Danio rerio: one gene and its partners. The protein of the gene in region 1 purifies or fractionates together with the protein of each later gene. This does not show direct contact. Links are inferred from orthologs where the notes say so. Each region holds a gene or a part of one and is shown in the gene's direction. Other genes may lie near its edges. The genes, in order: g6pd, hars and hspb1.

Evidence for each region.
Region 2: the proteins of g6pd (region 1) and hars fractionate together in Homo sapiens (co-fractionation; 3 studies listed by BioGRID). This does not show direct contact. The link is inferred for Danio rerio from reciprocal best matches to the Homo sapiens genes G6PD and HARS1.
Region 3: the proteins of g6pd (region 1) and hspb1 fractionate together in Homo sapiens (co-fractionation; 3 studies listed by BioGRID and IntAct, with this or other methods). This does not show direct contact. The link is inferred for Danio rerio from reciprocal best matches to the Homo sapiens genes G6PD and HSPB1.

Annotation. Positions count from the first base shown.
Region 1 is NC_133198.1:15,411,563-15,415,829, reverse strand, and holds the start of g6pd (glucose-6-phosphate 1-dehydrogenase), read left to right. Parts: upstream 1-1,406; 5' UTR 1,407-1,427; coding exon 1,428-1,452; exon of another isoform or gene 1,453-1,615; coding exon of another isoform or gene 1,616-1,630; intron 1,631-1,796; exon of another isoform or gene 1,797-1,862; intron 1,863-1,937; coding exon 1,938-1,970; exon of another isoform or gene 1,971-2,078; intron 2,079-3,602; coding exon 3,603-3,721; intron 3,722-4,267. UniProt on the Homo sapiens protein: Catalyzes the rate-limiting step of the oxidative pentose-phosphate pathway, which represents a route for the dissimilation of carbohydrates besides glycolysis.
Region 2 is NC_133189.1:7,931,110-7,934,764, forward strand, and holds part of hars (histidine--tRNA ligase), read left to right. Parts: intron 1-1,219; coding exon 1,220-1,336; intron 1,337-1,427; coding exon 1,428-1,574; intron 1,575-3,655. UniProt on the Homo sapiens protein: Catalyzes the ATP-dependent ligation of histidine to the 3'-end of its cognate tRNA, via the formation of an aminoacyl-adenylate intermediate (His-AMP). Plays a role in axon guidance.
Region 3 is NC_133180.1:4,132,441-4,136,835, reverse strand, and holds the start of hspb1 (heat shock protein beta-1), read left to right. Parts: upstream 1-1,521; 5' UTR 1,522-1,585; coding exon 1,586-1,970; intron 1,971-4,395. UniProt on the Homo sapiens protein: Small heat shock protein which functions as a molecular chaperone probably maintaining denatured proteins in a folding-competent state. Plays a role in stress resistance and actin organization.

The DNA of each region.
Region 1 (4,267 bases):
TTCTTTTGCTTTAACAAAATCTAAATTTGTGCTTGTTAACATCAATGCACTGCAAGCTAACACTAACTGTATTTTCTTATATGAAAGATGTAATAATGTATTATTCCTTGTTCATGTTAGTAAATACATTAACACTTACTAATACAACCTTTTTATGTAGTGTTACCATTTAAGTTGTGTGATAAAATAGCTTTATTTCTTTATGTACAAAATATTGTCTGAAGAATGAAACTGTAATCTTATTTTGTAGCAAAGGTTTTTGAATTTCAGTGGGGCCAAAAAGAAGCTAGTCACAAAATTAAGAAGACTGACAGATTTGTTTGCCAGTTTTCTATAAAGTACTTGTTTAACTAGCAGTTAAATGCAGTGCTTCTGGAAAGTATTGATAGTGCTTCACTTTTTCCACATTTTTCTATGTTACTTCAAAATTCATTCAATTGATTTATTTCCTCAAAGTTCTACACACAATACCCCATAATGACAATATGAAAAACGATTTTTAAAATTGTTGCAAATTTATTAGAGATAAAACACCTGAAAAATCACATTTACATTAGTATTCACACTTATAAAATTATTAATCACCTGTTTCTACATGGTCTGTCTATGACTATTATACTATTCTCCATGCTTGTTGAGTTGCACACACACACACACACACACACACACACACACACACACACACACACACACACACACACACAGGGGCGGTTTTAATTATTTTGGGGATCATTCATTCATTTTTCTTGTCGGCTTAGTCCTTTTATTAATCCAAGGTCCCCACAGCAGAATGAACCGCCAACTTCTAAAATGCACCTTTTATATTTCATTTTTATTATTATTATTATTATTTTGCATATTAATAATAACATGTAAAGTATATTGTAAAACTTTTGAAACGATTTCTAAATCCGCCCCATGCACAGACCACACAGACAAACGCACACATGATTAACTATATCAGATCCATACATCAGCACTAGGTGGCGCAAAGGTGGTAAGTTTAAAAAATATACTGGTTATTTATTTTTACACTCAATGCTGCTTGCTCTTACTCAGCAGTTGTTTAAATAACATAAACATAATCTTTAGGGTAACATTATTCAAACAAAGTATAAATGTTAATATGTTGAATGTATGAAATTATACTTTGTTATTTTATTATCTGCAGTGTCATGCTGACACTCAGAACTCTTTTCCAGCTCTTATCAGCAAGACTAACACTCATTATACATTCCGCATGCGCGCTCTTTTGATTGGACTGATGAGAGTTTAGCGTGTTTGCCATTAAAGCGTTTAGCTGTCAATCACCGTGGCACATGTGTTGTTGTTCACAAGCGCCGCCCTCTGACACGTTGTCTCCGCCCACCTTAATTTTTCTCTAGCGTCGTCGCGTCGCTGACGTCAGTTTACTCCAGCCTTCTGAAATGATGGGCAGTCGAGCGAGCGCTGGTGAGTTTCTCTCTACACCAATAAAATCACAGAGCCTCACCGTGTCATTTGAACAGGGAAGAAGGAAACTGTCTTAAAGAAATGCCTCTGTAGTCTTTATTGTTACATCTCAGTCTGTTACATCCGTTTAGCCTTTAAATCCCAGTGTTTTTGTTCCGTTTAGTAAAGAACACGATATGTAAGTAGCACGTTGTTGTCATGCGTTTGATTCTGCTGGATATGTTCTTCTGTCTACTAACATTTCTAAACACAACTTGGCTTGATCTAATAGCATTTGATGTTTGGTTTAATTGCAAATAACCGAATGCTTGTTTTGAATGTGATGCATTGCATAAAATCATTAGCAGGCTGTTATTGCAGTCGCCGAGGCTGAGCCCTGTTAAATAAGGGATTGTGCTAATAACATTATGGTAAGTTCAGCCTGTGGGAGGTTGTGTTTTTGTGTACAAGATGTTTATATGTGCACTTTCTCTTGTATGCCACAGAGAGAGCACATACTACAGTCCCTACACACAGTGGTAGGATATATGTGTTTGTCATCATCCCTGTGCAGATCCTGTAGTTGTGTGATGTGATAAATTACTGGACTACTCTTAGAGCAGTTTTAGCTACTGTTGTTTATTAAGGTAAAGTTGGTTTTAAATTCACACATATCTATATTTTAAAGCCTAGTGTCCCATAATTAACAATATTATTGCATGTGAAACACACAACAAATATATATTAATAATGAATAAATATGAAATATTTAACAAGTAATTACAAATAATGTTTTTCTGAAGTGTTTGATGTTAGTCTACTGTAGGTACCACATATAGAGAAATCTGTTAACAAGTCTGCAGTTTTACTTCTGAACATTGTGTTGCTTGTTCTTATTAATACCTTTTATTATTTTAATGTGTGTATGTGTACTGAGGTAAAGTTGGTTTTATATTCGCACATCTGTTCAGTGACAACTTCCTGTATTGTTTACCATGGTACTTGAATATTCAGACTAAAATTGCATGCAAGTAAGACTTGAAAAAAATATTTACTTAATATTTAATACTTTAAAACTGTTTATTTTACTTGGAACAATGAAGTACTTTGATATTAATTGGCTGCTAATATGATTTCACTATTTATAATTAGAAACTTATACTTTTTTAAAATTATATTAAGGAGAAAGTCTGATTATGCAAACATAAAACAAACTTTACCTCAATTGTATGTGCGTGTTGTGTAGATTGGTTAAATCGCGCTTAAAAGACTTTGTGTGTGAATCTGTGGCATATTTTAAAACAGCTTTAGCCTTTCTAAAGTTTGTAATGTCTGTTACTTCCTTGTACGTTCATATCTATCTAAACAATTTCTAGTTAACTACTATTGCTTTAAATAATTCCATGGTTTCTGTGAGTTTGTTTGGGATTTAAATTCATAGGGAGCAGGTGATCATACAAAAAAAAATAAATAAATAAACAAAAATAAAAGAGCTTAAGGTTTGAGTAACTGCTCTCAAACTCTAGAATCTGGATGTAACTTTTACTGTACCTTTAGATAACACTTAGAGAAAGTATTTTCCAGATCTGTATTTTGCCTTTGTCTTGCAAATATCTAAATATTCTTAAATCAAGACATCTATTTTGGAAGCAAAATTATGACATGTTTTGTTTTGGTGAAAACATGTTTTGTTTTTGGTAAAAACATGTTTTGTTTATGTTAAAAAAATCCCATCTGTAAAAACAAATCTGCCTAATTGTCTCAGAAAATGTACTTATTTGGAACAGAAGCACTTTTCATACTGTAGAAGATTTTTTTTTTTTAGACCATTAATTGTGGATTTTGCATATATTGATAATATAGCCTAATTACTGTAGCTCCAATAAGGGGAGAGAATCTCAAATTGCTATGAAATGGTAAAACAAGATTTTATTTATTTCTTAATTATTTACTATTTTACTAGGAAGGAGAGCTAAAAATATAAACCATGAAAGGACATTACCAACACAAGGCTTCTATTTATCACTGCTAAAAGCATTTTTTTTTTTATTTAACATTTATCAAAGATAAGGACATGCTTTTTAATTCGTGACTGGAATTAATGTGTCTGATTGTATGAACATTTGAGCTTTGTGAGACTGTGGTTTAATCTTTTTCTGACCTCTTGGCAGACAAGATGAGCCTTCCGCTCTCACGTTCAGAAGTGTTTGGGCAGTTGAGGAAAGAACTGCATGATGATACCGCATTTCACCAGTCAGATGTGCATATTTTCATCATCATGGGCGCTTCGGTAAGTCTTTATTATTTTGATTTATCCGTCACATTTAATGAGGAATTAACACAGTTTCATATGCAGTCATGAATTTTCTTTTACTTTGCACACCTTGCATCTGCTTATGGACCACAAATAGATTTAAACATTTTTTTTTACAGTGACTGCAGATTTCTAGAAATCTATTAAATTTTCTGAATAGATACAAATGCATATGCTCATCATCACACCTTAGCTACGAATTTGTAAAAGCACAATGAAAGGGGATTTGTGTGTGTGCGCGTGTACGTGTGTGCGCGCGTGTGTGTGTACGTGTGTTTGTGTGTGTGTGTGTGTGTGTGTGTGTGTGTGTGTGTGTTTGTGTGCGCATGTATACAAATTAATTTCCAGATTTTTGTTTCATTTTACTAGAATGACATGAAATCAGAACTTTTCTGTCCTCTTTGTAAACATCTCACAACTCTCCCCCAGCAGCCCTTGCCACAAAAACTTATTTGTTGCATAGTTACACATGTCTGCATGATTTTAATAATTATTTATTTTTCCTTTATTACTTTATTATTA
Region 2 (3,655 bases), on another chromosome or scaffold:
ACATTAACATCCGCCAACCCGTCAAATGCGGGTAGATTTCAGCTTTGGCGGGTTGGACAGCCACTCCCACTAGCCACTTTGGCAGGTTGCAAATAATGTTTACATTGTAGTTTTCTTAAAGCAGGGTTCGACAGGATTGCCCTATATGCGTGCAAATGTGATCTTAGAATCGGGAAGCAGCACGACTGACAAAAATAACTGTTTTCGCGCGAGCAAAAGCAGGTGAATACCTTATGAGAGGATGATTACTCGCACGCACAGGTGATGGGATGCGCGCGACTGTTAAAAAGCCTGCGCGCGCGTTCCCGTTTAATTGTGCGAAACAACCATGTAGAGGTAGCGCAACTGATGCGATCGGTTCTCTGAAATAGACTAGACAAAAAGCGATGCTCGTTTAAGCAGCAAACCTTTTGTAAGCAGCAGCAGCAGTCACTGCTTTCGTTTAAATTATTCTCCGGCACGTGATCATATTTTCATTATCACTCGTGGTATGTTTCACCTGCTTTCTTTTGCTTACAGTTATTTTGTTAATATAGTTTAATTATAATCCTTTGAAAATAACATTGCTTCAATATGAGATTAACTCGCCATATATGTGTAGTAACCGCTGATCTGGGACCTTTAGCCAGGAAAGATTACTGTGCATATTTTAGAAACATGACAATAGATCTTTTTACATTTTGTAAAAAAATAAATGTTTTGTTGAATAAAAAGTGCATGTATACAGCTATATATTTGATTGTTTTGACACATTTAAAATGTGTGGCTAAGAAATAATTATTCCTTTTTGGTGTGGTCAGAGATAAATTTGGTAAATCCTTAATTTTAAGCCCTAAAAAAGTCATGTGAAATAAAAACCAATTGCAATGCGACAACCCATTTGCTCATGCACAGTGAGCAAGCTCATACACAACACACACAGTGAAATAAATAAGGAGGCATGTGGACAACACAGCATCTAAATCAAGTCATTTTAACATGTCAAAGACACATTTATTAATACAAAATATATTTTTGAAGCAACAAAATTGTGGCTAGTGAAAATGGCAAGTGGCTAGTAATGTTGGAAATCTACTAGCCACAGTGGCTGGTGATCAAAAAAGTTAATGTAAAGCCCTGGTTACATTGTATTGGTTAACATGACATTTTAGGGACTGTGCCACCTTGTTTTTAATATGAAGGGTATTAAAATGCCAACATGCACTATTCCGTCCACCAGCTGTCTTCAGAGAAGGTGCGCACCACTGAAACTCAAGTGCTTGTGGCTTCAGCACAGAAGAACCTTCTAGAGGAGAGACTAAAACTCACAGCTGAGCTCTGGAATGCTGGAATCAAGGTTTGCATATGGCAGAATGACATTACAAGTAAATCGTAATGGATTTCCAGTTGTATTGAAGTTCTCTTACAATGTGTATTATCCACTGCAGGCTGAAGTTTTATACAAGAAAAACCCAAAGCTGCTGAGTCAACTGCAGCACTGTGAGGACACCGGCATTCCTCTCGTGGCCATCTTAGGAGAGCAAGAGCTCAAAGACGGCGTCGTCAAACTGAGGAATGTGGCCAGTCGAGAAGAGGCAAGATTTGATATTTTTACCATTTGAAATTATGTTTGAAGCCTTTTTTAATGCAAAAATCAACCTTAGGAAGCTTTTTTGGTGCAGATGTGGGTTCACAGTCATATTACAGTGGTAGAAATACACTTTTAATATCCTATTAGGTTTATCATAATCCAAATGCCAGCCATTTTGAGGCCAGCTGCACGTTTTTTGCAGACCACCGAATTGATTGACAGGCGCATACTGTCATGTCTCAGCCTTAAGCAGGTCGCACACCAAAAGCGCCGCTCAGCGCCACGACACGCGCCACGGCGCGCACATGACAGATTAAAGTATCGCGCACCAGACGCGCACATTCGAATGATATTTAACATGAAACTAATCAGATGGTGCTCTGTGGCGCGGCTGAAAATGAACTGCGTCCTGAGTCGTGGGCGGGCACCGCCGACAGCCGCCGACTTGCAGCGCCGGTGTGTGTATCCTGATAGAAACCTATGTTTTGAATTCTAAAATGCATGGCGCGGCACGCCGCCGAGCGGCACTTTTGGTGTGTGACCTGCTTTAGGCTGTTAAACATATGAACATAGTATCCGTGACATCACCCATAGGTTTCTGAAGAGTGCAAATGAAACCACATATAGGCACCATTTTGTTTGCACGTCATCGCGCTAACCATGGTTACCAAAAAAGGGCAAAGATGTGGAGCATCAGTGGAGATGCCTGCTAGCATTTTGCTTAGACGGGCTTGTCTTTGGGAGAAACTCTTAATACTTCATTACCTGCAGCTCGTTTGTGTTCTGACCTCTGACCTGAGCAGTAAAGTGTTTAGTCTTTTAAAAACACTGTTATAGTACTTTGAGCCACTAAACATTGTTCTTATGATGTTTTTCTACAGGAAGAAAACACAAATTACTTTTAAATACTTCAGATATAGTCTGTGTTAGTAAAGGCAAGGCTATTTATGAAATCCAGGCATAAAACTGTATGACAACATTTCAGATGACTGTTCTAGAGCCTACAGCTGATCAATCTGTCAGATTCTGGAGTGCATTACAGGTCTAAAGAAAATTATAAATGATCTTAAAACAAAAACATTTATAGAGATGGTATACAAGTATATAATTTCACTCACCTGGGAAATGGAGGCCACGTGAATGGTTTGTGAGCGCAATTAGGTGCACACAGCATGCCATATCATCTGATAATTGTAGGAAATAATTCCAAAAAGTAACTGACTGTGTAAAGCCACATAAAACACAACAAAAATACGATGTATATGCAGAGTTCAGCAGCTAATCAGCCGGAATCAGCTAAGGGGACATGACGGTGATCACCAAGACCTAGCTGTCACTCTGTCACTAAGTGGCCATGCCCTTATTTATGCAGACTTAATATAACTTAATATAAACAAAACGAAAAAAATTAAAAAAAATTATTGAAAAAAATCAGCCCACTCACAGTTGTCATAAAGGGTAATATTAGCTATATGAACCAAAATCATTCTTTGTACCAGGCTGTAAATACCTGTTTTTCTGCTGTAAATTTGGCCATTTTTACATTAGAGTCAATAGAAATTTTCTTTATTATGGAGCCAGTACTAGAGAAAATTAAAATTTTTTGCAGTTTCACTTTCGTATTAGCTTCATGAGAGAAAGCGGGATGCTGCCACTTGATTGACACGTCTAGTCATGTCGACAGAAAAAGATTTACAAAGAAATTGAGATGAAAAGATCTGTTCCAACTATCTGTGATCAGCTGCAACTCAAGTTTTAAAACAGTTCCTGTTTTTAATAAAGATTGTAAAATCGATATGCAATTCATAATCGCTGAAATCACCACAACTGCATAGTGTCAGTACGCAACTATAAACAAGTAGTCCTGGTTTGTGGAAGTTAATGTAATGTGTAATTTTATAGCGCATTTATTTTGTATGGCCATTAGGGTTGTGCCGATAGACAATGTCATCGTCAATCGCCGATGGCCAACAAACTTCACGATGCTGAGCCGGGATCGCCGCACATTTATATTGAAATATAACTTATTATTTGCATGTCATCTTAATAGCAAAAACGGTCTTTTCATGAGCTGTGTTAAATGTT
Region 3 (4,395 bases), on another chromosome or scaffold:
CCTTATGATAGTAAGGTTTATAATATAATTAAGTATAATATAAATAAAGGTTTGCTCTGCTTTTTTGTTTTTTGTTTTGATTTTGCTTGTTTTGATTTTGTTTGTTTTGTTTTGATTTGTTTTGGGTTTAGATTTGATATGATTTGATTTGTTATGTTTGGTTTTGATTTGTTTTAGGTTTTATTTTCATTTGTTTTGGGTTTTGATATGATTTGATTTGATTTGGGTTTTAATTTGATTTGACCTGATTTGATTAAATTTGATTTAATTTGATATGATTTAATTTTGTTTTGGTTTTATTTGTTTTGTTTTGGTTTGATTTGTTTTGGGTTTTGATTTGATTTGCCTTAATTTGATTTTATTGCATTTGATTTGCTAAGCTTTGTTTTTGATTTTATTTTATTTGATTCACTTTGTATTTTGTATTTTGTTTTTGGTTGATTTTCACTTTGTATTTTGTTTTTGGTTGATTTTCACTTTGTATTTTGTTTTTGGTTGATTTTCACTTTGTATTTTGTTTTTGGTTGATTTTCACTTTGTATTTTGTTTTTGGTTGATTTTGTTTCATTTCTTTTGCTTTGCTTTGTTTTTAATTTGATTTGGTTTGCATTTTGTTTTGGTTTGATTTCCTTTGTTTTTGTTTTGTTTTTTGCTTTGGTTTGATTTAGTTTTGTTTTGCTATATAATAACATAATATAATATACAGGCAGGGTGTGTGAAAAGTGTTTATATACAGTCAAGCATTAAATTATTCATACCACTAGCCAATTCTAACTCAAAGTTTTTGTTCAAATGTAAAATGTAAAAAATAAAACACATAAAAATTCTGCATTGAAAAAAAAAGTCCATGATTTCAATGGTTAAAAATGCTACGGTAAAAAACCATAACGATTTTTGTAAATTATACAGTATTAACTGTGGTGTGAACTGTATTTTACTATACTGTAAAAAAAAATAATAATAATAATTATATATATATATATATATATATATATATATATATATATATATATATATATATATATATATATATATATATATATATATATATTTATTTATTTATTTATTTCACACAGCTCTACAGTTTCAGACATTTCGAATAATTAATACAAAATAATATAAAGATAAATAAGTCTGTAAAATAACAGAAAATGTAATAAGGGCAGTTTATTATAAGGTTTTTGCAGCGTAATATACAAGACAATACATCACTTTAAACTAAAATAATAATAAAAGTCAAGGTTCAGAGTTGTTAAAAGAAAGATCAAGCTCCCAAAATGCAATTCAAAAGTCACAAAATACAAAAAACTTGAATTCACCAACATATTGTTCACAGTCCAGTATTAAATACACACTATCAGCCTTTGCCTCAGATTCCTTCCTCATGCGAGGGCCGTCCCTGAATAGACTTTCTAGTCACTTCTATAATTATCCGGACGGGACTGGGCTGTTGCAGAAGTGTCCTGAAGTGGGTGTGTCCTCCAGAAAGCCTTCTTATAAAAGTCCCAGCCCCATGCAAACAATCAGAACACACACACACACTCTGAACCGAGCCGAAAAACAACTCTTCAAAACTTCTGCAGCAATGGCCGAGAGACGCATCCCATTCTCCTTCATGCGCAGCCCGTCCTGGGACCCGTTTCGGGACTGGTATCAGGGCAGCAGACTGTTCGATCAGTCTTTCGGGATGCCTGCTTTATCTGAGGAGATGTTGACGTTTCCCAGCACGCACTGGCCAGGGTATATGCGACCATTCGGACACCCCGAATTTGCTTCTTTAATGCAGGGCCCACCTGTGATGCCTCCTATGATGACCCCGAGTTACGGACGAGCCCTTTCTAGACAGCTGAGCTCTGGGATGTCGGAGGTCAAGCAGACCGGAGACTCTTGGAAGATCAGCCTAGATGTCAATCACTTTTCCCCCGAGGAGCTGAACGTTAAAACCAAAGACGGGGTGCTGGAGATCACTGGTGAGTTTATTTGGTTTGATTGCATTTTGATTTGATTTTAATTAGATTTTCTGATCTTTTTGTTTTGATTTGATTTAATTTGGTTCCATTTGATTTGATGTTAATTTATATTGTTTTAATTGAATTTGATTTGTTTTAATTCTGTTTGATTTTATTTTTTATTTGTTTTGTTTTGGTTTGATTGTGTTTGATCTAGTTTGATTCGGTTTGATTTGATTTTACTATTAATTTGATTTGATTTGATATTATTTTAATTTGTTTTGTTTTAATTTGATTCTGTTTGATTTGATTGCTTTTAATTTAATTTCAATTTATATTTTAATTGAATTTTATTTGTTTTGTTTTAATTTTGTTTGATTTGATTTGATTCCATTTTAATTTATTTTATATTCATTTAATTAGTTTTGTTTTGATTGTTGAATTAAATATCATTTAATTTATTTTATTTTACTATGTATTATTTAAATTTTGTTTTGTTTTAATTCTGTTTGATTTGATTCCATTTTATTTTTCATCAGTTTAATTTGTTTTGATTTGATTTGATTCCATTTGATTTGTTTTTTTTCTGTTTGATTTGATTCCATTTTATTTTATTCTAATTTATATTATTTTAACTTGATTTGTTTTGTTTTTATTTGAAACTGTTTGATTCTGTTTGACTTCATTTTATTTTATTATCCATTTATATTGATTTGATTCAATTGGATTTTTATTTTATTTCATTATCCATTTGATTTGCTTTATTTTCTTTTGATTTGATTTGAGTCCATTTGATTACATTTTATTTATATTATTTTAATTTGATTTTATTCTTTTTGATTTGATTCCGTTTCGTTTGGTTTGATTCTGTTTGATTATTATTTTTTATTACAAAATTTTGTATTATTATGTTTTATTCTATTTTATTTTATTTGGTTTGATTTCATTTTATATTATTTTATTTCATTTTGTTTTGATTTGATTCTGTTTGGTTTGATTGAATTTGATTTGGTTTGATTTCAATTTATTATCTTTTTTATTTGATTTCATTTATTATGATTTTTTAAAAAATTATATTATTATTATTATTTTTTTTAATTCTGTATGATTTGATTCAAATTTAATTTTATTATCCATTTAATTTAATTTTATTTCATTGATTTTACATCATTTTAATTTGTTTTGATTTGATTGCATTTGTTTTGGTATGATTCTATTTGATTTGCTTTAGATTTTATTACACATTTGATTTGATTTTAATTTATACTATCTTAATTTTAACTATTTGTTTGGTTTTTATTTGAGACTGTTTGACTCCGTTTGATTCTGTTTGACTCGATTTGATTTCATATCCAAATTGCAATTTTTATCAAAATAAATTATTAAAAATATAACTTTTAATAATTTTGTATTTAATTTAATGTCATGAATGTTTATCACTTATTTACAGAATGTCTTCGATATTGTATCTAGTATCATAATTATGATATTATTTAAATTGGCAGTTTTAACTTCATATATTAAAATGATGACTTTTTCCCCAATATTTGACTTTATGACAGTGTCTTTTTTGGCTTAGTCAGACCTTTTAATCACGACTTGTAAAATATGTTGGATTAAAAATGCTATTCAAAATAATAATGACACCCCCCAATGATTGTGTTTGTCCACATTTGATCCAACTTTGTGTTTTCCAAAGCATGCTTTATTATGTGCACAATTACAGGCTTGAGTGAGGAAGAGAGGTGGTCAAGTGTGAAATAAATGCATGAATAACAGGCCTTGCTGGGAGACCTTTTGTATTGTGTCGGGTGGGAGCTGACAAGAGCAGCCAGCTAAATTCCTGAGATATTACGACGCCGGAGCCAAGCACAGTTCAAAACAGCATCTGCAGGATATTTAGAGTTGAACAAGGATAAAGCTATACACTAAAAAAATCTGCATCCTCAACCTAAGGCTCGGATGTTTAGTTTACCCAAAAATGACAACTGTTTCATCATTCACTCACTTGTTTTAAACCTATTCGACTTTCTTTTTTCTGTTGGGCATAAAAGAAGATATTTTGAAGAATGTTGGAAACCTGTAACCATTGACTTCCATAGCATTTGTTTTTCCTACTGTGGAAGTCAATGGTTACAGGTTTTCAGCTCTCTTCAGAATATATTCATTTGTGTTCGAGAAGAAAGAACATTTAAAAGGTTTGAAAAGGTTTTGTGTGAACTATCTCTTTAATACTCTTACTATAAAACATTAGCAGTAAAATATAATCTTTAAAATGCTAATTTCTTTGCTTAAACATGCATTTATGCAAATATATGCTCTATAAATACAAGTTTGACTATTTTTCTAAATATTTTTATCATTTAATTAAAAAAAAAAGTTACAATTGGAACTTTGCAAGAACATATTTATTTAATATCTAATACATTTAAGGAATGAAGCATAT